Oryctolagus cuniculus: one gene and its partners. The protein of the gene in region 4 purifies or fractionates together with the protein of the main gene of each other region. This does not show direct contact. Links are inferred from orthologs where the notes say so. Each region holds a gene or a part of one and is shown on either strand. Other genes may lie near its edges.

Region 1 (3,939 bases), about 54 Mb from region 4:
TTGCAAAAAGCCAGCCAACTTCTCAGGGAAGCAGTAAATGGCTTTTCTCTTTGCAGCCAACATGCAAATTTTGAAGCTCACTGAAAGGGTAGTCTCAGGCTTCACACAAGAGAAAATACAGGAAGACCGAGTCCTGCCAATGTAATTACCAGAGAGAAAGAGCTGACATGCCAGTACTAACAGCCATGGCCAAGGACACTGGTAAGAATTGCCATCATGGGGCTGGCGTTGTGGCATAGCAGGTTAAGCCACCACGTGCAATGCCGGCATCCCATTATGGCACTGATTGGAGTCCTGGCTTCTCCACTTCTGACCCAGATCCCTGCTAGTGTGCCTGGGAAAGCAGTGGAGAATGGCCCAAGTGCTTGAGTCCCTGCACTCATGAGGGAGACCGAGTTCCTGGCTCTTGACTTCAGCCTGGCCCAGCACCAGCCTTGCACCCATCTGGGGAGTGAACTAGTAGATGGGAGATCTCTTTCTCTCCCATCTCTCCCTCTCTCTCTTTCTGCAACTCTACTTTTCAAGGAAATAAAATAAACTGCATCATGAAGACAGGGAACATCAGAACTAATGGTCAAAGGCTAGTGTTCTTTAGGATTTCTTGGGATATTTCAGAGATTTTGGAGCAAGAGAGAGAGGGAAAGGGAGGGAAGGAGGAAGGCAATATCACTATGTTCATAGAATTGTATCTACATGTTACATTGACTGCTTATAACTAATTGAAAATCAAAATTAAAAAATAAAATTTTTAAAAACACATTTACTGTTCTCACTTTTATATATATAATACACACACACACACACACACATATATATATAATTTTCATTTGTTTCTCACTCGGCAACCATTCCTCCTGGTGGCTCTACCTTAGCAAGAATATCCAGATTCTTTTTTGTCTTCCTCTCTCCCTCCCCTCCTGCATCCCTCCCTCACTTCCTCTGTGTGTATCCAGATTCTAATGGTATGACTACAGCATTCCTGTGGCAGCCAAGCACCATCATATCTCCTACCAGGTTGCTCTGCACCCATGCGTGCCTCCCTGGGGTCAGTTCTCAACATAAGTCCAGAGTGATGCATGGTCACAGGAGTTCAAAAACTCACAGATGAATAGAAATTTTCTTAAAAGGCAGGGTGGAGATTCTGGCACTATGGTCATGGCGGAGGGGACGGCAGTGTTGAGGCGGAACAGGCCGGGCACCAAGGCGCAGGATTTCTATAATTGGCCTGATGAATCCTTTGATGAAATGGACAGTACACTTGCTGTTCAGCAGTATATTCAGCAGAACATAAGAGCAGATTGCTCCAATATTGATAAAATTCTTGAACCACCTGAAGGCCAAGATGAAGGTGTATGGAAGTATGAACATTTAAGGCAATTCTGTCTTGAGCTAAATGGACTTGCTGTCAAACTTCAGAGTGAATGCCATCCAGATACTTGTACTCAAATGACAGCAACTGAACAGTGGATTTTTCTGTGTGCAGCTCATAAAACTCCAAAAGAGTGTCCTGCTATAGACTATACTAGACACACGCTTGATGGTGCTGCATGTCTTCTGAATAGCAATAAATATTTTCCTAGCAGGGTTAGCATAAAGGAATCATCTGTAGCAAAACTAGGATCAGTATGCCGTAGGATTTATAGAATATTTTCGCATGCTTATTTTCATCACCGGCAGATATTTGATGAATATGAAAATGAAACCTTTTTGTGTCATCGGTTTACTAAATTTGTGATGAAATACAATTTGATGTCCAAGGATAACCTGATTGTACCAATTTTAGAAGAGGAAGTTCAGAATTCAGTTTCTGGAGAAAGTGAAGCATGAAGGGAATCGTACAGAAAAATGTACTGATCACATAATTAACGTTCATTATGTACTGTATATATCATTTTAGACACATCAATCATGTATTCATATTATAGCTTCTTTGTTTAGATTAGGTTTTTGTATGCTGTGTGTTGCCTTTTAAAAGGGGAAATACTTTTTAAGTTATTCATAAGCTGTATATTCACCGGTGTGGCACTCATGGTTTTTTAAATAAGATTAGTATTATCTGTTTATAATGCCTGTTAATAAAAGAATTTACAGTTTGGTAAAATTGCTGCTAAACAATCATTGGATTACAATCCTCATCAAATAAACCCATATATAAAAAGATGAGTAAGCTTGAGGTCTTGCACAAACCATTTACTAAAGAGATAGTAATGTTTTCCTTTCATTTTGTCCCTGAATTTAGATATTATAGAAAATTCTATAGAACATAAACTGTAAACTTTTCCAAAATGAGATAAAAGTACTTTAAAATTCTGTTTATAGTTTTTGATATGCATTTATGATTATGTGTATATCCAAATATAAATGCAAATGAAGCATTAGTAATTCTTATATAATCTTACTATGCTATATAAAGTATATTCTAGGCCAGCATACTTGGAAAGGATATACCTTTTTACAGCAGTGGACTGTTACATATAAGTTGATGCTAATGATAAGGCACATAAAAGGTATTCCCACTGGAAAACTGTTCACCCCCTTCTCACTTCCCATAATCCTGTCCCCAGATACTTTAGCTGAGAAGTCTTTCACCAGACTGTGACTTAGTGGTGACTTATACCTGTTTATACTCATGTTTGTATTAATTGCTTACAGATTTACCTCATATTAGCAATTATATTACACTACAAGAAAGATGTGTTGGCATAGGCTCTTTGTTTTGTGAAAATTTTCTAACTACTTGGAAGACAGACCTTAAAGCCATTTGATTCTTCCTCTCAGTAATATTAATCTTTTCATCTTACTCTAGGCAGCATTAGAGTTAAAGAAATATTGTAGTATTTATTTTGTACCCTTTCTCCACAAAATTTGAATTAAATACATATGTGAGGTTATTTGCAATAATTGATGCAAGGGTGTTGATGAATGGCCATACATTTTTTAGACTTTGTTGTAGCATATAAGAATTTGGGTGCAGATGTAACGATCTTATAATCTATTGAATGCAGTTTTTCATGGAGTACTAGAGAGGTCTTATTGCCAAATTGATTGTAATGAGGCACTAAGATAGGGTAGAAAAATTATACATGTAGTGAAGAAAATACTTAAACTCATCTCTAAGACATATTTAACAAATGTGAGAAAATTTTTCATTTAAAATAGTTATTTTGAAATGAAGATGAAAATGTATTCATCTTGATTGTCTTCAAAGAAATTATTTATACCATATTATGAGACAAGTATGCAAAGAAAAAAATATGAGAAATAGTAGCATACTGAGAGTGTGTGTATATAGTTTATGCCTTTCCAAGGCTGCCAATCGTTTTGGCTTTGAACAGTACTGTCCCAGCAGCCACAGTCCTTATTGTACCCCAACTCACAGCTATCTTTTAGAAGTTTTATGTTCACGGTGAAAGGAATGTTGAGTTTGAAATTATACGTTTTTTTTTTTTAATGTCACTATAAACTAATGGAATAGTAATTTTTAAGCAAACTTGCTGAATATTGAGAGAATAACCTACTAAGTTAAATTATAGATAGCAATGTAGCTCTTCTCTCTTGATGGTTTCTCATAATGGCTTTCTGTTACTTGACTATTTTCTTGGTGAACATTAGAACTAAAATAGTGACTGGAATTGGTTATCTGGCTAAGGATTTTGAAACACATTTTGAATAATATGACTTAGTGTTTAATGGGGAAATAAAATGATATTTTTTCGTATTCATTCCATCTTCCCTGTACTGTGTTTGGAATTGATCATAAAAGAAAAAAAAAAACTCCAAAAGAAAAAAAAAAAAAAAAAAAGGCAGGGTGGAGGGGGCAAGTGTTTAGTGCTGCAGTTATGTTGCCATTTGGGATGCCAGCATCCAGTACTGGAGTGCTTGCTTTGAATCCTAGTTACTCTGCTTCTGATCTGGCTTCCTGCTAATCTGCACCATGGG
Region 2 (3,500 bases), on a different chromosome or scaffold from region 4:
TTTCTGATCCAGCTCCCTGTTGGTGCGCCTGGGAAAGCAGTGGCAGATGACCCAAGAACTTGAGCCCCTGCCACCTAGTGGGAGATCTGGATGGAGTTCCTGGGTCCTGGCTTTGGCCTGGCCCAGCTTCAGCTGTTGAGGCTATTTAATGAGAGAACCAGCGGATGGAAGGTCTCCTCTGGCTCTCCCTTTCCTCTTTCAAATAAGTAAATAAATATTAGAAGAATTTTAAATTGAAGTTCAAACCAAACATGCTTCAAGGTGAAAGTGAATTTCATATAGAATTGGAAATAATGAAAGATGTTTGTTGTTAGAATAAATTGTTTCTTCTTTTTGATATCAATAGTTATTTTACTTTGATAAGTCAATGGTAGTTGAAGTAGATTTTGAATACCTGTGAACCCAGTGTAAAGATTAACATTTCTAAGTCACAGGCTAACTGTGGTATTTAGAGGATTGTTTCAGATTGTTACAATAGCTGTTATGGCTTCAACTCATTTTAGTATTCTTTGCATTTTGCCAACTTTATCTGATTTACCGTCAAATGGAAAAACTTCCTTAAAAGTATTGGAGTGGATTTTGGCACAGCAATTACTGCTTGGTACACCCACATCTCATGTGGGAGTCCTGGTTCCATTTCTGATTCCAGCATCCTGCTAATATGTAGCTTGTTGACTCCTAGTTGGCTTCCTGCCTCCGGTTTTGGACACCCAGATTGAGTTCATGGCTCCTGGCCTCATCTTGGCCCAGCCCTAGTTGTTGCCAGCATTTGGAGAGTGAGCTAACACATTGAGATGCCTCTGTGACACACTCTCTCTATCTATAGATCTATCTATCTATCTATATGTATATATCTATCTATCTATAGATAGATCTATCTGTATGTATATATCTATGTATATAGATAGATAGATACATATAGATAGATAGATATAAATAGATGTCTCTCTCTCTCTCTCTCTCTCTCTCTCTCTCTCTGCCTTTCAGGTTATCAGCCAGTGATGGCTGTTGTTATGAAGAGGATTAAGAACCTCTCCTTGTTATGTTAATTTAAAGATGATAACACTGTAGTAAAGAACTTTCTAGGTAAAAAGAGTTGAACTTTAAATTTGAAGATTATCTACATGTAAGTGATAGTGAAACTTAACAAAAAAATACAGAATATTGTAAAATGATAAATATCAGGGACTCTGCTAAACCTTAGGTGGCAGCCATAGATAGTAGTCATAGATAGTAAATGGTAGAAAAAGAAATTCTGATTCTTCACTACCTCCAAATTTATCAATGTAGTGTACTTCAAGCAATTCTCATTTCCTGAAATTGAAATTGTGGAAACAGTTGCAGAATAAATGAACTAAAGACAAATTAAAATCATCTCACTTACTTTTTTAGTCCCTTAGATGAATTTCAGTTTTCCTTTATGTGAAAAAAAAATAGCCATAACTAATTTGTGTTGCTCTTTTTCTTCTTAGCAATCAACTCTTCCTGCCAAATAAATAGAGTCATCAGTCATCCCACTCTGCCAATCAGCATCACTGCTCATGAAGATAGGCACATCAAATTCTATGATAACAATACAGGTACGAATTTATTTATTAAGTAGTGGTTTTTGTTCAAGCAAAAGAAGAAAGAAACCCTACAAAAAAGTTGAGTACTTTTGGTGTCTGTTTTAGTGGCATGATAATCAAAGAATAGATACCAGACACAGGCAGTTCCTTGTCTCAGTTTCTCATCATGCCACCCAAATCTGCTAAGGCTAGTTTTCATTCTAAACGATATTTGGATCCTTTTTGTTTAATAGTGAGTAGATGCTATATTTAGGTCCTGGAGCCAATGTTATCACTAGGAGCACAATGAAAAATTCATTCAAATGCAGATTAAAGTGATCTGTTGCTATGATTTATTGCAATATGTTGGGGGAAAATAGAAACATTGGAAGTAAAGGGTATGATCATTATACATGGTAATAAATTATTGTATAGTATTATTCAGTATTGAGTTATTCAGTTAAAAACTAGCCATATTCTGTGTTGCAGATGGAAAACTTACAGGTCATTTGGTTTTCTTTTCCATGGACTAATCTTCTCTGTGTTATAATACTGACTGTTTGGTCCTGATTGATTTGAATTGGAGCATGAGGGGCTTTCACAATTTTTGTTGGGTTACATTTCACCAGTCTAAAAGGAATTCATGAAGAGCTGTGCAGAGGAAAGCATCTTTGTGTTTGCAGCCATATTTATCTGAGTTACCTGTTATTGTCTTTGTTAATATGTTAACTTGTGCTGGCTTTGCTTAACTGCTATGGATAAGTAATTTCATGTTTTACATCCTTTTTGTATGTTGTGTACATTATAATTGTGGCCATGTTTCCTTTCTGTTGCTTTGTCTCATTCTTTTTTCTCTGTGAATTTAAGCTCTCTATTCCTACCACCCATATAATTTGCCTGTAGCTAAAGGTTGCAAAGTAGGTGATTAATAGTTTCTAAATCCTCATTAGTGGGAATGACTTAAGAGGATGTTTGTGTAGAAATTAGTAACTTCCATAAGCTGCTTTTGTTCTTCATTATGGTGACTGAAGGTAGGAGACAGGCACATGTTTTAGTTGATGGAAAAAACTGTTGATACAGTAAGTAAACAGGGTAGCTAATGTATATTCAAATGAGGAAAATCATCAATAAATAGGAACAATCTTCTTTTTCCAAAGGTAAACTGATTCACTCGATGGTAGCACACCTAGAAGCTGTTACAAGTTTAGCAGTTGATCCTAATGGCCTGTACTTGATGTCTGGCAGTAAGTACATCAACTATGGATTGTTTCTTTGTTCTTATCATCTTTATATAAGTGTAATTTTCCTTTTCAATTTCTTTTCATTTGGTATAGGTCATGACTGTTCAATACGTTTATGGAATCTAGAAAGTAAGACGTGTATTCAAGAGTTCACAGCTCATCGGAAAAAATTTGAAGAATCGATTCATGATGTAGCTTTCCATCCATCCAAATGCTATATAGCCAGTGCTGGAGCTGATGCGCTGGCTAAAGTCTTTGTATGACACAAAGCATCGTTTTCATCATCTAGTTCTTTATAAATAATCAACTGCACAAAAGAGATACAGAAGACCAGGGCAAGAATCAACTCGTCCTGCCCTTTTGTTCTGCTGAAGGAGCACAGAGAACATTTGTTAAAGTATAGTTTTGCAATTCGTATACAGTTTTCTAAAACTAAAGTTTGTTCAGGTTGCTGCAAGCTCAGCTGAATCTGTGAACCTGAAAACTGTTTCAAATTGTCCCCTAAATAGACCCTTTTAATTCTGAGGTGGTTCTAATTCGCTAGGTAGGTCCTTAGCGTACACAGGTTTAGCTTGTCCCTATTGATACAGCGTGCTGTAATGGATAATTAAAAAGCTTGATGGCTGGGAATGAGTAGAGAAAGAGCAGAAACTTAGACCTAGTTCTCCTCTGACAACTCTTATTAAACATGTTAGGTAGTCAAAACAGTAAT
Region 3 (4,060 bases), on a different chromosome or scaffold from region 4:
GCATTACAACCACCTTGGATAACAGGTCCGCAGCGGACAATCTCAGCATCCAACGTACCCGCAGACGCTGAAGAAGAACGCAAAGTTATTTTCTAGGGATACAGTTCGGAAGTAATTCTGTATCAACGACGAGACGTTTGCTTTTCATCAGCTACGTACCGATCCAGAATACCGTCCACCCGGTCCTCAATCAGTAGGGGTTCCCTCAATCTTGAGACCTCCCACAACAGTTTGAATCGTGCAACTCAAACCAAAAACACCAACCACACCCTTTATACCCAGGGTCAAGCGACCTTTCTTTCTTTTTTTTTTTTTTTTCCTCCTCAAAGTCCAAAAATGTGCATCTTTCACCCGAAAGGGTTTGCCCCGGTTTTTCCAGCCGAAGGCAGACGGTCTGAGCTGTGCCCTGCTGCAACTGCTGTGCAAAGACGCTTCCTCCCGGGCAGTGTGCGGACGCCCCGGAAAACGCGCCCACGCTTACCTCCCGCACACCTGCCACCCTCGGCGGACGGCTGGAGCTGAGGCTCGAAGGGACTGCACTCCGCTCAGCTCCCGCTCCTGCTCGGGTCTCTCCCGGGAAACTACGGTCCAGGCTGCGCCTTCGGCTTCCACCGGGACCCAAGCTCCGCCTCTCCCTCCTCCAGTTGGCGAACTGGGCAGCTGTTGCTCCTCCCCCTGCTGTTCCTGCTGCTGCCGCCCGGGTCCCTGCCCGCTCCCTGCACTTTGGAAGCTGCTCCAGCCGCTTCCCTCGTACCGGGGGTCCCCCTTTCCTCCCACCCTCTCCCCGCTCTCACACCTGGACTTGTTCCCTTGCCGCGCCCTGGCGCCTCCGCAGGTAGCCCAGGCTCAGCCCATCGCTCCCCAACCTGCGGGTCTGGGGCTTGGCGGAGCTGCTTATCCCGGCCGCGGAGCGTCCCCGCACTCCCTGCACTCCAGGCTCCCTCTCTGCCCGCGCTGCAGACCCATTCCACCGGCCCCACGTTCCCTACCTCGGGCCCCCCCACCCGCTTCCGTCTTCTCCTCCGGCAGCCCGCCCCCTCCTTGGGTGAGGCGCCTACGGGGCCGACCCTGCACCCTGATTGGCGCAGGTGAGAGCCGGCCCCGCCCTTCCTCCCCTAGCCTTGCACCCTCTCTCTCCCTCTCACCTCCTCCCGCAAAGGCCGGGAACTCTCCTACTATTGGCTACGAGTGTCCCCACCCATCGCCTTAGGCTCTGCCGTATGGCCTGCCGGGAAGTGTAGTCCTAGGAGCGCAGGAATTGCAGACGACGCCGGCGAGCGAGACTACGAGTCCCCATAGGCCACTGCGCCTCTCCGGCTGGGCAGGATTCCGGACAACGCCTGGTTCCTCTCGGGTCCTTCCGGCGTCGCCGGAGTGAATTGATCCGGGAGTTGAAGAGGGCTCCAAAGGTGGGAAGTGAAGTCAGTGCCTCAGTTGCCGGTAAGGTGCGGGTGTTCTGCCCCTATCCCCGTGTCTCCGCGCGCGGTGGAAGAGGTCTGGGGTCACACAGGGGCCGGGGCTGAGGCACTCGGGCTTGGTACTGGCTGGCGGAGCGGACGGGGCTGGGAGCGGGGCCCTATGGGCGTAAGCGAGGTTACCCTACGCGAGTGGCGTAAAGCGGGTTTGTAAATGCCGCCTGCCCGCCCCGCTCGGGCCTGGACGCCTCCAGGAAGTGTGCTCTAGGTGGGGGCGGAGGGGAAGGGCGAGGTTGGCCTCTGGTTCCCCCCGAGAGGAGAGAGGGCGGATGTGCCTGGGGTGGGGTCCTCCGAAGGTGTGGCTTGGGGCGGGAGAGGTAAGGCTGCTGTTTCCCCCTTGCTTCGTAAGTGTGGCTGGGGAAGGAGGGGTTGCTTGGAAGTCTTCGCTCCGGGGTGACTGGGGTTATGCCCTTTGAAGGAAAAGGAGAACGGAGTAGGAAGAGTCAGATGTTGACAGATCGGCGGATTCTGAGTGTTTTGAGATGGGGTCCCTGAGCAGAACCGCTCGACCCTGTTGAGGGTGTGATACCCAAGATAGGTTTGTTTACGGCTGGAACTGCTTTCGAAGAGCTTTCCCGTCAGGATGCTGTTGAAGAAATTGAGGGAGTAAATGACGTGCCCAAGGTCACACAGGCAGGGACTTGGTCCTGAACAGGACAGAGATGCCGGCGGAGTCACAAAGTGCGGAGACGGGCCGTGTTTCTTGAGGAAGGTGGAGGAAGTGACACAGTAATGGTATTTTATGGATTTCTAAGAAGCTATGAGTGATTGAAGGGTGACTTTTTTTTCCCTCTCTCTCTCTCTCTCTTTTTTTTTTTTCTAAACTGGGGTGAAATTCCTCACTGAAGCACTTTCTCTGACCTTTTTGAAAAATAAAAAGGATCAGTATCAGTTACGTATTTTGTCCTTTATTGGGGCTATATTAACGATCGACTTCTCCCACAGTCCATTTTTAAAAGTAGATAGTGAAATAGGAGAAAGTCATTTAAACAGTGTATTCCATCCTTACTGTGAAAAGGATATATTCCTTTCCCTTCCTGCCTTAGGTGGTTTTTCCACTCTCATGTTGTAAAACTGAGAACAGTGGGGATGGAATTCTTTAACAAAACTTACTGTGCACTTTTTTTTTGTTTCAAATAATGCAACATTAAGGAGAGTTTAGTGTGCTCATTACTAGAAAAGAAGATAACATTGCATTTCTTGGAGGTAACATATTTTTGTGATTCATTTGCTTCTCCCCTCTTTGATTCTGTGTGTGTGTGTAAATAAAAGAATGAGGCTCTTACATATTTTAATTTTCTCAGCATCATCTGTGACTTTTTAAATTTTTTTAAAGATTTATTTTTATTTATTTGAAAGAATTACACAGAGAGGTAGAGACAGAGAGAGAGGTCTTCCATCCAACAGTTCACTCCCCAGATGGCCACAACCGCTGGAGCTGTGCTGATCTGAAGCCAGGAGCTTCCTTCAGGTCTCCCACGTGGGTGTAGGGGCCCAAGGACTTGGGCCATCTTCTACTGCTATCCCAGGCCATAGCAGAGAGCTGGATTAGAAGTGGAGCAGCTGGAACCAGAACTGGCACCCGTATGGGCTGCTGGCGCTTCAGGCCAGGGCTTTAATCTGCAGCGCTACAGTGCCAGCCCCTATCTGTGACTTTTAATTCATTCTTAGTTTGTATTAAAGAATGGAAAAGCAGGACACATTTCATATGGAGTAGAAACTAATGCACCTCTCCCAGTCTTATCTCCTGTAATTGTTACGACCCAGGACAGCTCCTCAGTATTAATACTGAATAGTTTTTTTTTTTTAATAGAAATGTGGGAATATGTTCATTGATGTCAGGATTTTTTCACATTAAGTTTATATTCATAAATAATCTATTTGCAGTTGGCAATCATCTGTCATGGTTTATTGTTATCTAAGTTGACCATTGAAATACATTGTATTTTGAACACACTATAAATATTAATATTAAATGTGTGTAATTTTTAAATGCAGCAGTATTTTCTAGGATCAAATGTATCATATTCCCATATTATGGAAGTTAAGATGGTCTGGAAATTGATACAACTTTAAAATGGAAGGAGAGGTATGATAGTATAGAATCAAGTGAAATCGAGAATAATAAGCACCATAAGCAAAATAGTGCACCTGTAAGGAAGAGTCAACCAAACAGGTGGAAAATTGTGTGGAGTTAACTGGCTTTGTGTCAAATTAGAAAGGTGAAGTAGTTTAAGTAGACCATAGATGCATTAGTAAGTGGTGGTAAGCAAGAATGTTAATACATTTTCTAGATGGCAGTGTAAATATTTGCTTTTGTTGGGCACGGTGTGAAATGAGTTCTGACTTTTGGCATGCAGCTGTGTGGTTATGAAAAGAGTTTTTGAACTAGAGAAATTTTGGAAATAAGTGAAGTTAATATAATCTACTTGTTCAGCATATATCAGTTTTTGTTCTTGGTTCAGTTTACCATGAATTTTTCTTTATCTCTGAGATTCATTTCAGTTTTGATATTTCACCTCTGCTGGAATGTCATTGGAATGTTTCTCTTACATTTATCATCTTCCGGCCACATGCTTGAGTAC
Region 4 (3,500 bases):
TGTGTGACAACTGTACATATTAAGGAACTTAATAATGGGTATTTCATTTACCACTTAGTAAAACAATAAACTAATAAAATTGGTTTCATATTATCTAATTATGCTGTTCATCTCCTAACCAAATAGAAATCCTTGAATATTTAACTGATAATCTGTAGACTATAAAATGTATTCATTGTTAATGAAACTATCATAAAATCATTTAAATTTAAGTATATGACTATCCTTTTAAAGTATAAACAGGAATGTTCTATTTTAAAGTATAAACCTATTTTTTTGTCAGATAAATGGAATCTTGAGAAATTTCCAAAGGCCCTTATGTTCTTTAATCTAAAAAATTAAAAATTTGAAGACTTAGGGTGAAGAATACTGTGACAGAAAATGTATGAAATAAGATTCTGTGGCTTGCTGGTCTCATCTGGTAGCAGCTGTGACAGAAGCAAGTGTTTTCTAAAGCACATGAGATTTTTACCATTCACCAGAGCTGGTTTATTAATTAGCAAAGTTAACCATTTCTTGAGTAGCTATAAACTATCTGTTTTCATTAGGTAGAATGAATTCTTCATTTAAGTGCTGATCCTTGCCTTCCATAGAATGACTATTCAGTTTCTTGTTATTAATTCTAACTAATACATATTAATGTTTGTGATTTTGATTTTTCCCAAAAAGGAGACACTTGTGGCTCAATTAAAAAAAGTATTAACACTTGCATTGGGTTAATTATTATAGGTAACAATAAGATGAGTGAATGATGAAGTTACATTACCATGTGAGCTTGCAGTGCAGTAGGAGGTACAGACACAGTCATAGCCAGTACAGGGGAGGGTCTGGTGAACCCTAAATTAGAGATAGGGATTGTTAGTGCTGGAGAGAGAAGGAGTAGTTCCCACAAGGAGACTCTGGAAAGGTGTCCAATGAAAGAAAAAAAAAATCCATCTGAATCCAACCCTGAGTTAACAGAGTAGTCAACAGGCAGAAGTGGGTGAGCAGAGAAACTTGTATGATAAGCTGCAAAAGAATGGAATTCTAGTGTGTTTAGGCACTAATGCTCTGATATGCCTAAATAAAAAAAGATTTTATAGCACATTCAGGGGTAAAGACCCTTTTGAGACTGTTGTTATATAGATTTTATGACACCAGGTGTCTTTGAGCACACATTTAAAACCCAGTAGAAAGTTTGAAAACTGATTTACATCCAGATACTCATTTTTTTACATTATTTTTGAACAGAAGCCTTTTTGGAAATCTTAAAAAAACAAACATTTCAAACAGTTGGCTAACACGCATGAACTAACACTCATTCAGTTTTTAAATTACGGATAATGTCCGTATTAACATTATAATGACTCTGTACTACAGATTGACATGGTACATCGTAACAGCTCCGAAGGATTCTTCCTTGATGCATCTCGACACATCCTTGAAGCACCTCAACATGGACTGGAGAGGAGGCGCTGGGAAGCAAATCAGAATGTACACTAAATAAAACAGTCAACTTTGGGTGTGGATGGAAGGGGGGGTTCATGTAAAAGTTCTTTTACATGGAGTTTTCCTCCTGGATTAGATCAGGGAAGAAATGAACTCTACTACAGAAAGCTGTGTTTTTGATAGCTGTACTATTCATGTAGAAACTTTAAGTCCATTCTCAAACAGAGAATTATTTAAGTGCAGCTTTTAAAGACCGCTTAGCCCAGTTCATTGATTTGCTCTTTATAGCTCTTGTAACTTTTGTTGCCACAAACCTGTCGTTCTCTTTCTGGACCTTGAAGACATTTTCTTGGCATTGACTTTGACTTGATTTTATAAAAATTTTGGTCAAGCTATTGAGTTGAAATGTTTTAATTCAGATTTTTGATAGATGTAGTCCTTTGAGTTCACAAATAAACATGCCTTTGTTTAGATGTTCTGAGTAAATATAGTAGTGCTCTTTCCATTGTTCCTCTATTCTGCTTTTCTTTTTTAAAACTCCCTTGTGGCAGGTCTTTATTCAGTACAGCAGAAATGAATCTGGACAAAAGTTAGAGGTGAAATGTTTTCAAATAGTTCAAGGATCTCATTGCTGACACTTCTTGCCTTGAACAGTTTTCAGAGCACAGGCCTTTGCTCTTTTGCCCATTTAAAGGTCTGTGATACTTCCATTAACATTTTATAATTTATAAGCGAACCATTAACTGGGCTTGTGAAAATACCATTCTGTTTTAAATACTGGGTTTTTCCTTGGGGTGATCTTGTTAGCAGAGCCTCTGTCCTGAAAACATTATCTTGTTTTATTCCATCTTAAAGGCAAAGACTTGCTTCCTAGTATTTGAAAGGCAGAGTTACAGAGAGCAGAGGCAGAGAAAGAGAGATCTTCCGTCTGCCAGTTCACTGATCAGATGGCTTCAACAGCCAGAGCTAAGCCCATCTAAAGCCAGGAGCCAGGAGCTTCTTCCAGGTCTCCCTCATGGGTGCAGGGGCCCAAGGACTTGGGCTGTCTTCTACTGCTTTCCCAGGCCATAGTAGAGAGTTGGATCAGAAGTGTAGCAGCTAGTACTAGAACCAGCACCCATCTGGGATGCTGGCACTGCAGGCATTGGTGGTTTATCCTGCTACACCACAGCACTGGTCCCCTTATATAGTTGTTTTTGTTTGTTTGTTTGTTTGTTTGTTTTGTTTTGTTTTTCTTTGCTTTTGACAGGCAGTTAGTGAGAGAGAGAGAGAGAAAGGTCTTTTCCGTTGGTTCATCCCCCAGTGGCCGCTGTGGCCGGCGCGCTGCGACTGGCGCACCATGCTGATCCGAAACCAGGAGCCAGGTGTTTCTCCTGGTCTCCCATGTGGGTGCAGGGCCCAAGGACATGGGCCATCCTCTGCACTCCCGGGCCACAGCAGAGAGCTGGACTGGAAGAGGAGCAACTGGGACAGAATCCGATGCCCCGACCGGGACTAGAACCCGAGTGCCGGTGCTGCAGGCGGAGGATTAGCTATTGAGCCGCGGCGCTGGCCCCTTTATATAGTTTTTTAATTTATGACAGTGCTGTAGGACTGACCAAATCATAAAGTGAGAACACTATGGGAATTCAAAATTTGTACTCCTTACCCTTATTCAGTTTGCTGCTGCACTGGTCTGTACTTACTTGCTTTTAAGCAGAGTGCTCCCCTTACAGTGGGAGGATTAAATCCTTTTAACTGTTGGCGAATATGGTAACTACTTGTGTCGCTACCATCATTGAATCCAGGGCTGCCCAATACAACTTTCTGAAATGATGGGAATCATTTTCTGTATCTGTGCTTGCCGACATGGAAGCCATAGCCTCATATGGTACCTGAGCACTTGCACTGTCACTGAGGCAACCAAGGGACAAAATTGTGACTTTTTAAAAGTTATCTGATTTTAATTAAATGGCATGTATTGGATAGCATAAATTAGCATTTTATTGTGGCTTCTGAGTACTAACATTGTATAGATTTCTCCATTAAAATAAAAACCTGCATTTTTTTTTTTTTTTGGTTAATTAAGAAGA
Region 5 (3,500 bases), on a different chromosome or scaffold from region 4:
AAAGCACTATGGTGTATTTATGATGTCATACAATAAATGACTAGGAATAGCAAAGAAATAAAATCAATTGTTTTTCCTTTTTATCCTCCATAAGTTTTTCTCATACATGTAAATTTTACTCACCCTTGTCTCCATTGTAAGTGCAAATACATGGCAATTTTTCTTGTGGATTCCATAACCTAACAGTGCCATCTGCTGAACAAGATAGTAACTGATTTTTTATGCCACTATAAGCAAGACCCCAGACTGCATCTGAATGAGCAACTAAAGTGCCAGCTAGGACATTTGGCTCTGGGAAGAAACAAACAAATAAAATATTAGTTACAATAAGTGAAAAATAATGTTTTTGTTTATAAAGATAACTCACCATATAATTAAATACATAAGAAGATAAAACAAAATAAACATAGGGGCTACTTCTAGGCAGTGGAGTTATAAGTTATTTTTTTATCTCTTCCCCTCACCAATACTTTTCTGTATTTTCACAATTTTCTATAAGGAACAAATACTTAAAAAAACTTCTGTAATATAACTTACATACCATCCCACTCACTCATTTAAAGGGTATGATTCAATTTTTTTAGTGTGGTCACAGATCTGTGCAACCACCACAACAATCAATTTTAAGACACTTTCATCATTGATTAGCCTAGTCCTCTTCCCCACCATTCTGCAGCACTAAGCAACCACTAATCTATTCTCTTTCTATAGATAGGCCTATTCTGGTCATTTTATATAAACACAATCACACAGTATGTGTAGGGTCTTTTGTGATTGGCTTCTTCCACTCAGCATAACATTTTCCACGTTCATCCATGTTTTAGCATATGCGGTACTCAAATTCTTTTTATCATCAAATAATATTTCATTGTACAGATATTACCAAATTTATTTATCTATCCATCAATTGAGACATATGACAATTGAGACAATTCTGCTTTTCTAGTGAACTCCTACTTTCCAGGAATATTTATCTCCACAATCCTCAGTTCCCAACTTAATTTCCTCATTTCTTGCCACTTTATCTGTAATCTACTCTGCTTTCTTTCACATATAAGCAAGGAATTGTTCTTCCTAACAAAGGCTAATTCTACCAGGTACACTGAACTCACCAACTTGCTTTCAATGTTTACTATCTATTACACAAATTTTCCTCCCTGGAATCACTATCATGGGTACAGGAATCACCACCATGGTGGTGGTGGGGAGGGGTGGCGGGGCACAGTTTGAGAATCATTCAGCTCAAACTAGAAATCTTCATTAACATTTTCTGCTGAATGGCAGAAAAACACATCAAATAAATTCATTTCACCTCCCATTTACTCTTCAAATAATTATAATTTATAGTTTCTGATATGACTGCACCAAAATAACCCTTGCTAAAATCACCAGTAATGCCATCTATGAAATTTAATTAACTTTTTTCTTTGATGATACCAAACATTTGTTGTTGTTCCCAACATACTGCTTTTCACTCATATTATCTGATCTGAAAGATATAAACAGGTCCTTCTGGTCTACCTCAGTATTCTCCAGCTAAAATCAGAAGACCTGTTTGTCTTTTGTAAGAAGGAACCTTTTAATCTTCATATTACTGGACCTCAGCAATATCTGAAAATGCACATTGCTTCCTGCTTCCCAAAACAGTATGTTCTTTGCATATGCTTCATGACCTCACACTCTCCATTACCTCCCCCTACTTGTTAAAGTCACACCGTTTCCCTTGTTGGCTCTCTAGCTCTAGCTATCCTACCAATGTCAGTTACCAAGGACTTCAGTCCCAGGTGTCTTCTCTTCCTACCCTACACAGCACACTCTCACTGCATCATTCATTCGCACAGCTCTAAGTATCATCTGTACAGAGACGACATCATATTTTTACCTCCAACCCATTTCTCTTTGAGCTCACATCTGCACATTATCTCTTTAATACTGCCATTGCTTAATATGCCTAAAATATGAACTCAATGACTTACATCTCATCACACTTATTCTCTCTCCATTTCCATAAATGCTACCATCACATACTCAGTTGCTCATGTCAAAAACCCAGCACTGGTGATGAAAATGTTCTGAAATTAGATAGTGGTCATGGCTGCACAGCCCTGTGAACATAGTAAGAACTACTGAATTATGCACTTTTTCAAGTGATTTTTATGGTGTGATTTAAGATAAAAGCTATTAAAATAACACAACTAAGCAAGAGTCGCTCACTGATCACTTTACCTGCACAATACAATTTATCAACAAATCCTGACAATTCTACATTATTTGCCCACTGAACCTTAAATCTACTTCTAACTGTTCTAGCACCACCACTGTCGTCTTGGCAACATCACTAGTTGACTGGACTGTATTATAAGCAACCTCCGAATTGGTTGTTTCCACTCCTCTCATTCCATTATTTTCTTCTCACAAAAGTCAAAGTTGGGGTTGAAAATGGGGCATAGTAGGTAAAGCCACTACCTGCAATACCAGCATCCTGGTTGCTGGTTCAAGTCCTAGCTGGTTCCACTTCCAATCCAGTTCTGTTAATATATCTGGGAAGGCAGCAAAGGATGGCCCAGGTGCATGGGCCCCTGCACCCACGTGAGAGACGCAAAAGAAGCTTTTGGATCCAGGCTTGGCCTGGCCCAGCTCCGGCCATTGCAGCCATTTGGGGAGTGAACCAGCGAATGAAAGATCTCTGTCTTTCCCCTTCTCTCCCTGTAACTCTGCCGTTCAAATAAATCTTTAAAAACCAAACAAAGAGAGTCACAGTCATCCTTTTAACTCTACCTTTTTTTCAGGTCACTTCCTGATTTAAATCCTTGACTGAAAGTTCTCTTTTATCTATTAGATTCTGCTTGTTACTATTTTATTTATTTTTAAGATTATTTACATATTCATTTGAGAAGCAGAGACATCAAGCAAAAGCTCTCATCACTGGTTTACTCTGCAAATGCACATGATGACCAGGGCTGGGCCTAGGCCAAAATCAGGAGCTAGGAACTCAATCCAGGTATCTCACATCAGTGGCAGGTATCCAACTACTGGAGCTATCACTGTTGCCTCCTAGGGTATGTTTAGCAGGAATCTGCAGTCAGGAGCAGAAGCTAGTTACCAAATAGGGGTCACACACCAACAGGAGTCACAGGTGTCTTCATCACTAGGCCAAATGCCTGCCCCAGCTGTTAGTATTCAGGTAAACATCTTCTGACTATTCATCTAAAGAAGGTTCCATCTGTTACTCTCACAATATTCTATGTATCATTTGTAACAATTTGTAACCACAGACTTCTATCCCCCTTATTTGTTTAACCTGTTACCTTTCTCATTAAACTAAATCTTATACCTGATACAGTGCTTCCCACTATGCCTGACAAAATGCAGCAAGTGTATGTTAAGCTAAAAGAACAAGTAGATCATAAACATTTTAACCCTTTATAATTATGGCCAATACCCTTGTAAATATTTGGAGACATAGGCAGGTATTTCTGTGGGAGAGACTTCTAAGGCTG
Region 6 (3,500 bases), on a different chromosome or scaffold from region 4:
ACCTCGCTCTTTAACTTTGTCTTTCAAATAAATAAAATAAATCTTTATGAAAATAAGATTAATATTGAGAAGGATGAAAATGTATAAAAACATTAGACAGGAAAGAAGGAGGCAAGAGGAGGTGGTTAGGGTTAACACATAGGTTACTATAAGGGGAGAAGAAATGTATGAGTAGAGAAGAGATAAAAAATGACAGAAACTGCTACCTAACAATGTTTCCAAAACAAACCTAGGTAGAATACTGAAGAATGAACTAAAGAATAAGACTCATGGGCTTTATGACAGTTTTTTTCCAGTTGATTTGAAGGTCTGTGGATTTCCTTCCAGGAAGCAGAAGGTTACTAGCCAGCTGCCATGGCAAAGTCACTGTACTTAGCCTAGTTTCTACACCTTAAACTATAATCAATTCTCAACGATCCATGATATAATTTGACTCTTAACAATAACTAAAAAGAAGATGTAAAAAGTTCTTTGTTCATCAAAATTTTCCCTTGCTTTCCTTTTCCACCATTCTTACATCCAGCCTGCCCTTTACATTAAAGCATTTAATCATTTCTCCATTCCAGGACTTCTGAAGCTGAACCAGAGGAAGACAGCTCAGACAGGAAGATCCTGCTGCTTACTTCCAGCAAGTGGGTGGATGGAAAAGACTCTGGCCCCACAGGAAGATGGTGAAGCCAAACAACTTTTTTCAATCAGTTTTTGCAGGGTGAGCTTATGTGCTCAACATTTTATGAATTCTTAAATTTTGGGTATTCCTACTAAATTAAAATATATAGGGGGCTAGCACTGTGACATGGTAAGCTAAGTCTCCACCCACAGCGCCAGCATCCCATGTGGGTGCTGGTTTGTGTCCCAGCTGCTTCTCTTCTGATTCAGCTCCCCTCTGATGGCCTGGGAAAGCAGCGGAAGATGGCCCAATTGCTTGGGCCCCTGCACTCATGTGGGAGACCCAGAGAAAGCTCCTGGCTCCTGGCTTCAGATCGGCTCAGCTCCAGCTGTCGTGGCCATTTAGGGAGTGAACCAGTGGATGGAAGATCTTTCTCTCTCTGTCTGTAACTCTACATCTGAAATAAATAAATTAAAAAAAAAAAAAAAAAACCTATAGATGCTTTCTAAAGTCAAATATAAAGGTGATACATCATTATTTTCTCTTAATATTGAAAATTAAAATTTACTTTTCTCATGTACTTTTTCTTTAAGAGCTTATCTGAAAGCTGCAACACATATATAAAATTTAATTATTTAATTATGCAGCTTTAATTTCACATCTTGCTTGGATGTCATTTTCGTTCCATTTTGCTTCCTGAGGTGAAAAACAAGCTCAGCCCTGATTAAGAAGGAACTATCACACAATATGATCAAAATCTTTGGTTCATTTTTATAAAAATAACCATATTTGAGCTTGCTTATCTTGTGATAGGTTAGCCTGTTAAAGTGCAGAAGATACACAATCATGACACTGCATATTAAATATGATTCTATGAGAGAAGGGAGTAAAAGGGGAAACGTTGAAAAGAATAAGTGTGTGTTAATGAAAGGTAATCACTCATTTGCAGCAGATTATACAGTGATAAGAACCTCATTAAAAGATATTTTAGTTACAGACTAGTATCAAATATGTTGACAACAGGACAAACGGAAAGAGCAATTTCACATCTTTACAAAAGCATGACTAACTATACATCATTTTACAATGGAAAACAGTGAACAAGAACATTGAAAAGAAACATATTGACAAAATCAGACATATTTTTAAATGTGCTGCATTTAATGCAATCGAAATACTATCAACAATTTAGATGCTGTGACAACATGCCACTGCCATTTGTGGAAACAGTTAAAGCATTTTGCACTGATTGCTCAGTGACTAAAAGCAGGCAAACAAATAATGCAACAAAATGGCTAATGCATTCACAGTAACATACAACAGATTCTCCTTCCAACCATATCAGTCTTCCCAGATTTTGAAAGAATTATGGCTTATGGACTGGAAGGACACAAAGTGCTTACAGTATTAAATACCAGAATATTTACTTTGGCACACAATTTGTGTTCCAACCAAATAAAATGAGATTTCTCCTAAAACACATATCCTTAGCAAGGCAAAAATGAACATATTACAAAACCAATATGTCCAGATGAAAATAAAAAATGTTACAGTTTTTTTCTTTAGGAACAAACATGATGACAGAAGAACAACAATCATTTCCAAGTTCAGGATACTACAAGGAAAGGAGAGGGCAAAGAAAAACTGCATTGATAAAACAAATCTTCTAGAAATAATTTTGGGAAAATTCATTTTTTAAAAAAAAGTGTTGTCTTCAGATCCTTTCCAACTGATAAAGAGCCCTTTATTTAAGAGAGTCAGCTACTAGAGTGGCCCTTGATCTGTAGATCAAGCTTTAGCAGCCTCTTCCATCCCCATGCCAGTCAGATGTAGATGCGGAGAGTGGTATGAGGCCAGCATTTACTGAACACAGCTCTTACTGCCTTGCAGTCAATTCCAAAGCTTAGGGAAGTAAATGGTACCTGTCTTGGTTAGGAGAAGTCGGGAGGGTCTCTGCTTTAAAGTCGACTCTTACCATTTTTAACATCATTATTTAAATAGCTGCCACCTCCAGGTTTTAAGCAAAATGACATGAAAGTGAACATGCATATTTGTGAAGGAGAAAGGGTATGGGGGAAGAAAAGTAAAAGGCTACAGAACATGTGTTTGGCTGGCTGGCTGTGAAGTAAATTTTAAGTAACTTTTCAGGTCATTTTCACCTGAAGGGTTCATACAGCCTTACAGCATGGCTCTATTTTGCTTCCCAAAAGTATTCTAAGTTAAATAACACATTCTCTTTCAAAGATAATAGATCAAGATCTGGTACAAAGGACTTCTCATATAGGTCAACTAACTGCTGGAGAAAAAGTATAATTTTGCATATTTGTATTTTTGAAACCAAACACCACTGATGAATACTGCATAATATGGACCATGTTACACAGTTAGAAATCACCAGACAGAATGCTCCAAATATCAACTTTATGACAGGTAATGTGACTTCTGCTTCCCTATATTTCTAACTAGCATGGATATCTGATTTGCTTTTGGCTTTAGGTCCAACCATAATTGGACTCACAATGTCTTTTCGCTTTACCTCTTTTTGTACATCCTTTGCTTGGTTTTCAGCCTTACTGAGAAGAATTTTTAAATCAGCTGAATCACGAAGATGCTGTTCTTTCAAGGATCCCATTTGGTTCTCAAGCTCTTTCCTAGTCATCTGAAGGATGCTGAGATCACTGGTAAGCTCTAAACTCTGCTTCTGAGAACTGCAACAAAAATATCAAGATAATTAATCACAGATAGAAACTGGACACAGAAGGAAGTCCAATTCCTTACACATCTTACTAGGAGGACAGAATGGATTCCAGTGAATGAAAGAAAAGTAGAAGAAAGAATGAGATATTTTGAACATGTAAAAAGCATTAAAGCACTGAATAAAGTTTTAAGT
Region 7 (3,500 bases), on a different chromosome or scaffold from region 4:
CCCTGTCACGGTAAACGCTGTCCTTGCTCTCCCCGGGACTGTCCTGTGTTGACCCTCAGAGCTCACTCCCGTTTCTGGGTTTGTTTTCTCTTGCCGGGAAGCCTGTGGCAGTCAGTGCTTTTGGCCATTCTTGTTCAAAGTCACTCGTTGAGCAGCCTTTGAATAGGCACCTGCTTTGAGTGAGCACATTGTTAGGCGCTGGAGAGAGAAAACAGAGTAAGCTCTGGTCCCCCAGCCAGCACAGCGGGAAACGGTGACGGAAACACCGGGAGGGGAGAGTGAAGCCTGCCTTTGCTCCGGGGGCCTCTCAGCTCTCCCCTTTCTGTTCTCGGTGTTCCCTGTATTATCCCACGTGAGCTGGGATGAAGGAAGCCAGGGCTGCTCCCTAGATTCCCCAGCCTACTCCTTTATGAACTGGCTCTCGTCCCCAGGGTCCTGCTCAACATCATGTACCTGATCGTGGAGACCGTGCACCAGGAGTGCGAGGGCGACAAGGCTGAGTGGAGGGCCGTGCGACAGACCTTCAGAGCCGAGCTGGGTAGGACCCTCGGGGTCTCCTTCGGGCCCGGTCTGGAGCTGAGTCTGGGAAGCTTTGGGAAGGTTTGGAGCTGCTGCGGTCGTCCTGATCCCTTTTTGTCACCCCTAGGCTCCCCACTGTACAACAATGAGCCATTTGCCATCATGCTGTTTGGGATGGTGACCAAATTTTGCAGTGGCCACGCCCCTCATTTCCCGATGAAGAAAGTTCTTTTGCTGCTCTGGAAGACCGTATTGGTGAGCACCTGGTTGCAAGGAACTCAGGCAGTAAGGGGTTGGACGGGGGTGGGGGACTGCCCCTGTGTAGCCTTTTGAAGCTTGAATGTGAATGTATAATCTCTATAGTTAAAAAGTATTGCGCAAGCGCCTGAAAGGAGACGTCAGAGCAGTCGCTGCATTGGGCCCCTGCAGCCCAGGAGGACTTGGTCTTTGTGTCAGGTTAGATTATTGCTCCCAACCCCCGGAGAAGCTGTTGTCTCAGTCGTAGTGCAGCCTCCGTGGGGGACAACCTGGGGAAAAAGGGGAGCTGGAGTTGGGGCTGCGGCTGTCACTGCGGCTCCCCTGCCCTCTGAGCAGGCCGACTGGGGCCAGGGCTCAGTAAGATGGGGTCCTCCTCAGTCATCTCATGTTTCTCTTGGCCACGTGTCCTGTGGGTTCCCCTCGAGGCCTTACTAAAGGCAGAGCGGAACCGAATGGCTCAGATGGTGGAACTCAGCAGCCATATGTGCCATGCGAGGCGTCTCCTCATCGGGAGGTGTTTTGATGTGAAGCTTTCTTTTATTATTATTTAAAGGTTTATTTACTTGAAACACAGAGTTACAAAGAGAGAGGGAGAGACAGAGAGAGAGAGATCTTCCTGTTGCTACTCCACTCCCCAGATAACCGCAATAGCTGAGGCTGGGCCAGGCCAAAGTGAGAAACTCCATCCAGGTCTCCTGCATGGGTGCAGGGGCCCAAGCACGTGGGCCGTCCTCCTCTGCTTTCCCAGGTGCAGAAGTGGAGCGCCCAGGACCTGAACTGGTGCCTGTGTGGGCTGCTGGCATTACAGGCAGTGGCGTAACCCACTGTGCCACAACACTGGCCCGTAGTTGAGTCTTAATTTGAGTAACCAACACCGTGTTTCCAGTTGACTGACACACTGGCGTATACAAGTATCGAGAGGAGTGAGCCTCGCAGCCTGCCCTTTGTTTTTGGAGGGGGTATCGCGAGCCTGCATTTTACTCTCCTCTCTCTCCCCTCTTGCTGACTAGGGACACTGAATCCCCTCGGGGCTGGCAGTGGTTCCGTGTGTAGAGGTTGTGTGGGTTGTAGTGCTGTTGCGGTGGCTTATTTACCAGAGAGGCAGACAGAGAGCGCCCGTCTGGTAGTTCACTCCCCACAGGGCTGGGCCTGGCAGAAACTGGGAGCCAGGAACTCAGTCTGAGTCTCCCACATAGGTGGCAAGGACCCAAGTACTTAATTCAGTTACTGCTGCCTCCCAGGGTGTGCAGTAGCAGGGAGCTGGGATTAGGAGCAGAGCTAGGACTCAAAGCAGGCACTGCAGTGAGGCAGGGATGTGTCCCAAGCGGCGTCCCCACCACTAGGCCGAGTGCCTTCCACTGGGTGCCTTTGAGCCTGGCGCAGTGCCCAGGGCAGCGGTGGTTCTGCTGACGCCAGCTGCACGCCCCTGTCTGGTGCAGTGCACACTGGGCGGCTTTGAGGAGCTGCAGAGCATGAAGGCTGAGAAGCGCGCCCTCCTGGGCCTCCCCCCGCTGCCCGAGGACAGCATCAAGGTGATCCGCAACATGAGGGCCGCCTCGCCGCCAGCGTCTGCCTCCGACCTCATCGAGCAGCAGCAGAAAAGGGGCCGCCGGGAGCACAAGGTGAGGGCGGCAGAGGGCTGTGCAGGTGCACACAGAGGCAGGGCTGCCGGCGTCCTCAATGGGCAGGTGGAGGATGCCAGTTCAGCAGGGGCACTCTGACCGTGGCCCCTGGCCCTGCACAGGGTGCGCTCGGCTGCAGCACTGTTGAGGCGTTAGACGAGAAATCGCCATTTGGTCCCAGCCTTTCCACCGCTCTTGCTCTCTCCCCAACGCCTTCCAGTCTCCTGCCCTCTCAGCCACACCTGCCAACGCTGGCTCAGTGGGCAGCCCCTGTCAGGTCTGCCTCTGTTCGTAGGCTCTGATAAAGCAGGACAACCTGGATGCCTTCAACGAGCGGGACCCCTACAAGGCCGACGACTCCCGGGAAGACGAGGAGGAAAATGACGACGACAACAGTCTGGAAGGGGAGACCTTTCCCCTGGAGCGGGATGAGGTGATGCCTCCCCCACTGCAGCACCCCCAGACCGACAGGCTTACCTGCCCAAAGGGGCTCCCGTGGGCCCCCAAGGTCAGGTGAGTGTCAGAGCTCCACAGTGCTCCTGGTCCTAAAGCCAGAGCCCGTACACCCTCACACCTGGCCCCTGTGCGCAACCCCAAGCTGTGCTGGCCTTGCTGGCCCTTGTGCGGCCCCGAGTCAGTAGTTTGAGTCAGCTCTTGGTTCGACACACTAGTGAAGGGGGTTAGGAAACGCAAAGCAGGGTGTTACCGTGAACCCGTCCCCACCCAGCCCTCTTAATGGAAAAGTGGAAGGATAAGGAAGACTTTCCTAGGGATCATAGCTAAGGTAGGTAGGGTAGCTGTGGGAAAATGGATGGCTAGGAAGGACCTAGAGATAGAAAACTGGAATCTGGGTGGTGGGCAGTAGCTTGAGAAGTAGGTGAACACGCGAGGGGAGGGAGGTGAGCCCCTGTCCTGGCCCAGGCAGAGCCTCTGCTCTGAGTACCTGTGAAGGGAGTGCAAAAGAGGCCATCCAGAAGCTTCTGCCAGGTGTGCCGATGGCTTAAAACCGGAAAACGTGACACCTGTGCAAGATCAGGAGCGTGTAGCACTGATTATCGAAAAATGTTAAATACTCAGGGTTGGCACTGTGGTACAGTGGGT

The links.
Region 1: the proteins of FGFR1OP2 (region 4) and MOB-like protein phocein purify together in Homo sapiens (affinity purification with mass spectrometry; 3 studies listed by BioGRID and IntAct, with this or other methods). This does not show direct contact. The link is inferred for Oryctolagus cuniculus from reciprocal best matches to the Homo sapiens genes FGFR1OP2 and MOB4.
Region 2: the proteins of FGFR1OP2 (region 4) and STRN purify together in Homo sapiens (affinity purification with mass spectrometry; 4 studies listed by BioGRID and IntAct, with this or other methods). This does not show direct contact. The link is inferred for Oryctolagus cuniculus from reciprocal best matches to the Homo sapiens genes FGFR1OP2 and STRN.
Region 3: the proteins of FGFR1OP2 (region 4) and PDCD10 purify together in Homo sapiens (affinity purification with mass spectrometry; 3 studies listed by BioGRID and IntAct, counting the BioPlex papers as one, with this or other methods). This does not show direct contact. The link is inferred for Oryctolagus cuniculus from reciprocal best matches to the Homo sapiens genes FGFR1OP2 and PDCD10.
Region 5: the proteins of FGFR1OP2 (region 4) and STRN3 purify together in Homo sapiens (affinity purification with mass spectrometry; 5 studies listed by BioGRID and IntAct, with this or other methods). This does not show direct contact. The link is inferred for Oryctolagus cuniculus from reciprocal best matches to the Homo sapiens genes FGFR1OP2 and STRN3.
Region 6: the proteins of FGFR1OP2 (region 4) and SLMAP purify together in Homo sapiens (affinity purification with mass spectrometry; 3 studies listed by BioGRID and IntAct, with this or other methods). This does not show direct contact. The link is inferred for Oryctolagus cuniculus from reciprocal best matches to the Homo sapiens genes FGFR1OP2 and SLMAP.
Region 7: the proteins of FGFR1OP2 (region 4) and STRIP1 purify together in Homo sapiens (affinity purification with mass spectrometry; 3 studies listed by BioGRID and IntAct, with this or other methods). This does not show direct contact. The link is inferred for Oryctolagus cuniculus from reciprocal best matches to the Homo sapiens genes FGFR1OP2 and STRIP1.

The regions. Positions count from the first base shown.
Region 1 is NC_091440.1:69,971,548-69,975,486, reverse strand, and holds MOB-like protein phocein, read left to right. Parts: upstream 1-1,139; 5' UTR 1,140-1,149; coding exon 1,150-1,827; 3' UTR 1,828-3,722; downstream 3,723-3,939.
Region 2 is NC_091433.1:165,985,547-165,989,046, forward strand, and holds part of STRN (striatin), read left to right. Parts: intron 1-1,472; coding exon 1,473-1,580; intron 1,581-2,704; coding exon 2,705-2,791; intron 2,792-2,881; coding exon 2,882-3,051; 3' UTR 3,052-3,500. UniProt on the Homo sapiens protein: Calmodulin-binding scaffolding protein which is the center of the striatin-interacting phosphatase and kinase (STRIPAK) complexes.
Region 3 is NC_091435.1:112,788,378-112,792,437, forward strand, and holds the start of PDCD10 (programmed cell death protein 10), read left to right. Parts: upstream 1-1,260; 5' UTR 1,261-1,440; intron 1,441-1,651; exon of another isoform or gene 1,652-2,210; intron 2,211-4,060. UniProt on the Homo sapiens protein: Promotes cell proliferation. Modulates apoptotic pathways. Increases mitogen-activated protein kinase activity and STK26 activity. Important for cell migration, and for normal structure and assembly of the Golgi complex.
Region 4 is NC_091440.1:124,188,674-124,192,173, forward strand, and holds part of FGFR1OP2 (FGFR1 oncogene partner 2), read left to right. Parts: intron 1-1,359; coding exon 1,360-1,473; intron 1,474-3,500. UniProt on the Homo sapiens protein: May be involved in wound healing pathway.
Region 5 is NC_091443.1:44,426,408-44,429,907, reverse strand, and holds part of STRN3 (striatin-3), read right to left. Parts: intron 292-3,500; coding exon 124-291; intron 1-123. UniProt on the Homo sapiens protein: Calmodulin-binding scaffolding protein which is the center of the striatin-interacting phosphatase and kinase (STRIPAK) complexes.
Region 6 is NC_091441.1:92,027,418-92,030,917, forward strand, and holds part of SLMAP (sarcolemmal membrane-associated protein), read right to left. Parts: intron 3,319-3,500; coding exon 3,147-3,318; intron 1-3,146. UniProt on the Homo sapiens protein: Associates with the striatin-interacting phosphatase and kinase (STRIPAK) core complex, forming the extended (SIKE1:SLMAP)STRIPAK complex.
Region 7 is NC_091438.1:60,282,506-60,286,005, reverse strand, and holds part of STRIP1 (striatin-interacting protein 1), read left to right. Parts: intron 1-431; coding exon 432-538; intron 539-646; coding exon 647-774; intron 775-2,216; coding exon 2,217-2,399; intron 2,400-2,694; coding exon 2,695-2,912; intron 2,913-3,500. UniProt on the Homo sapiens protein: Plays a role in the regulation of cell morphology and cytoskeletal organization. Required in the cortical actin filament dynamics and cell shape. Part of the striatin-interacting phosphatase and kinase (STRIPAK) complexes.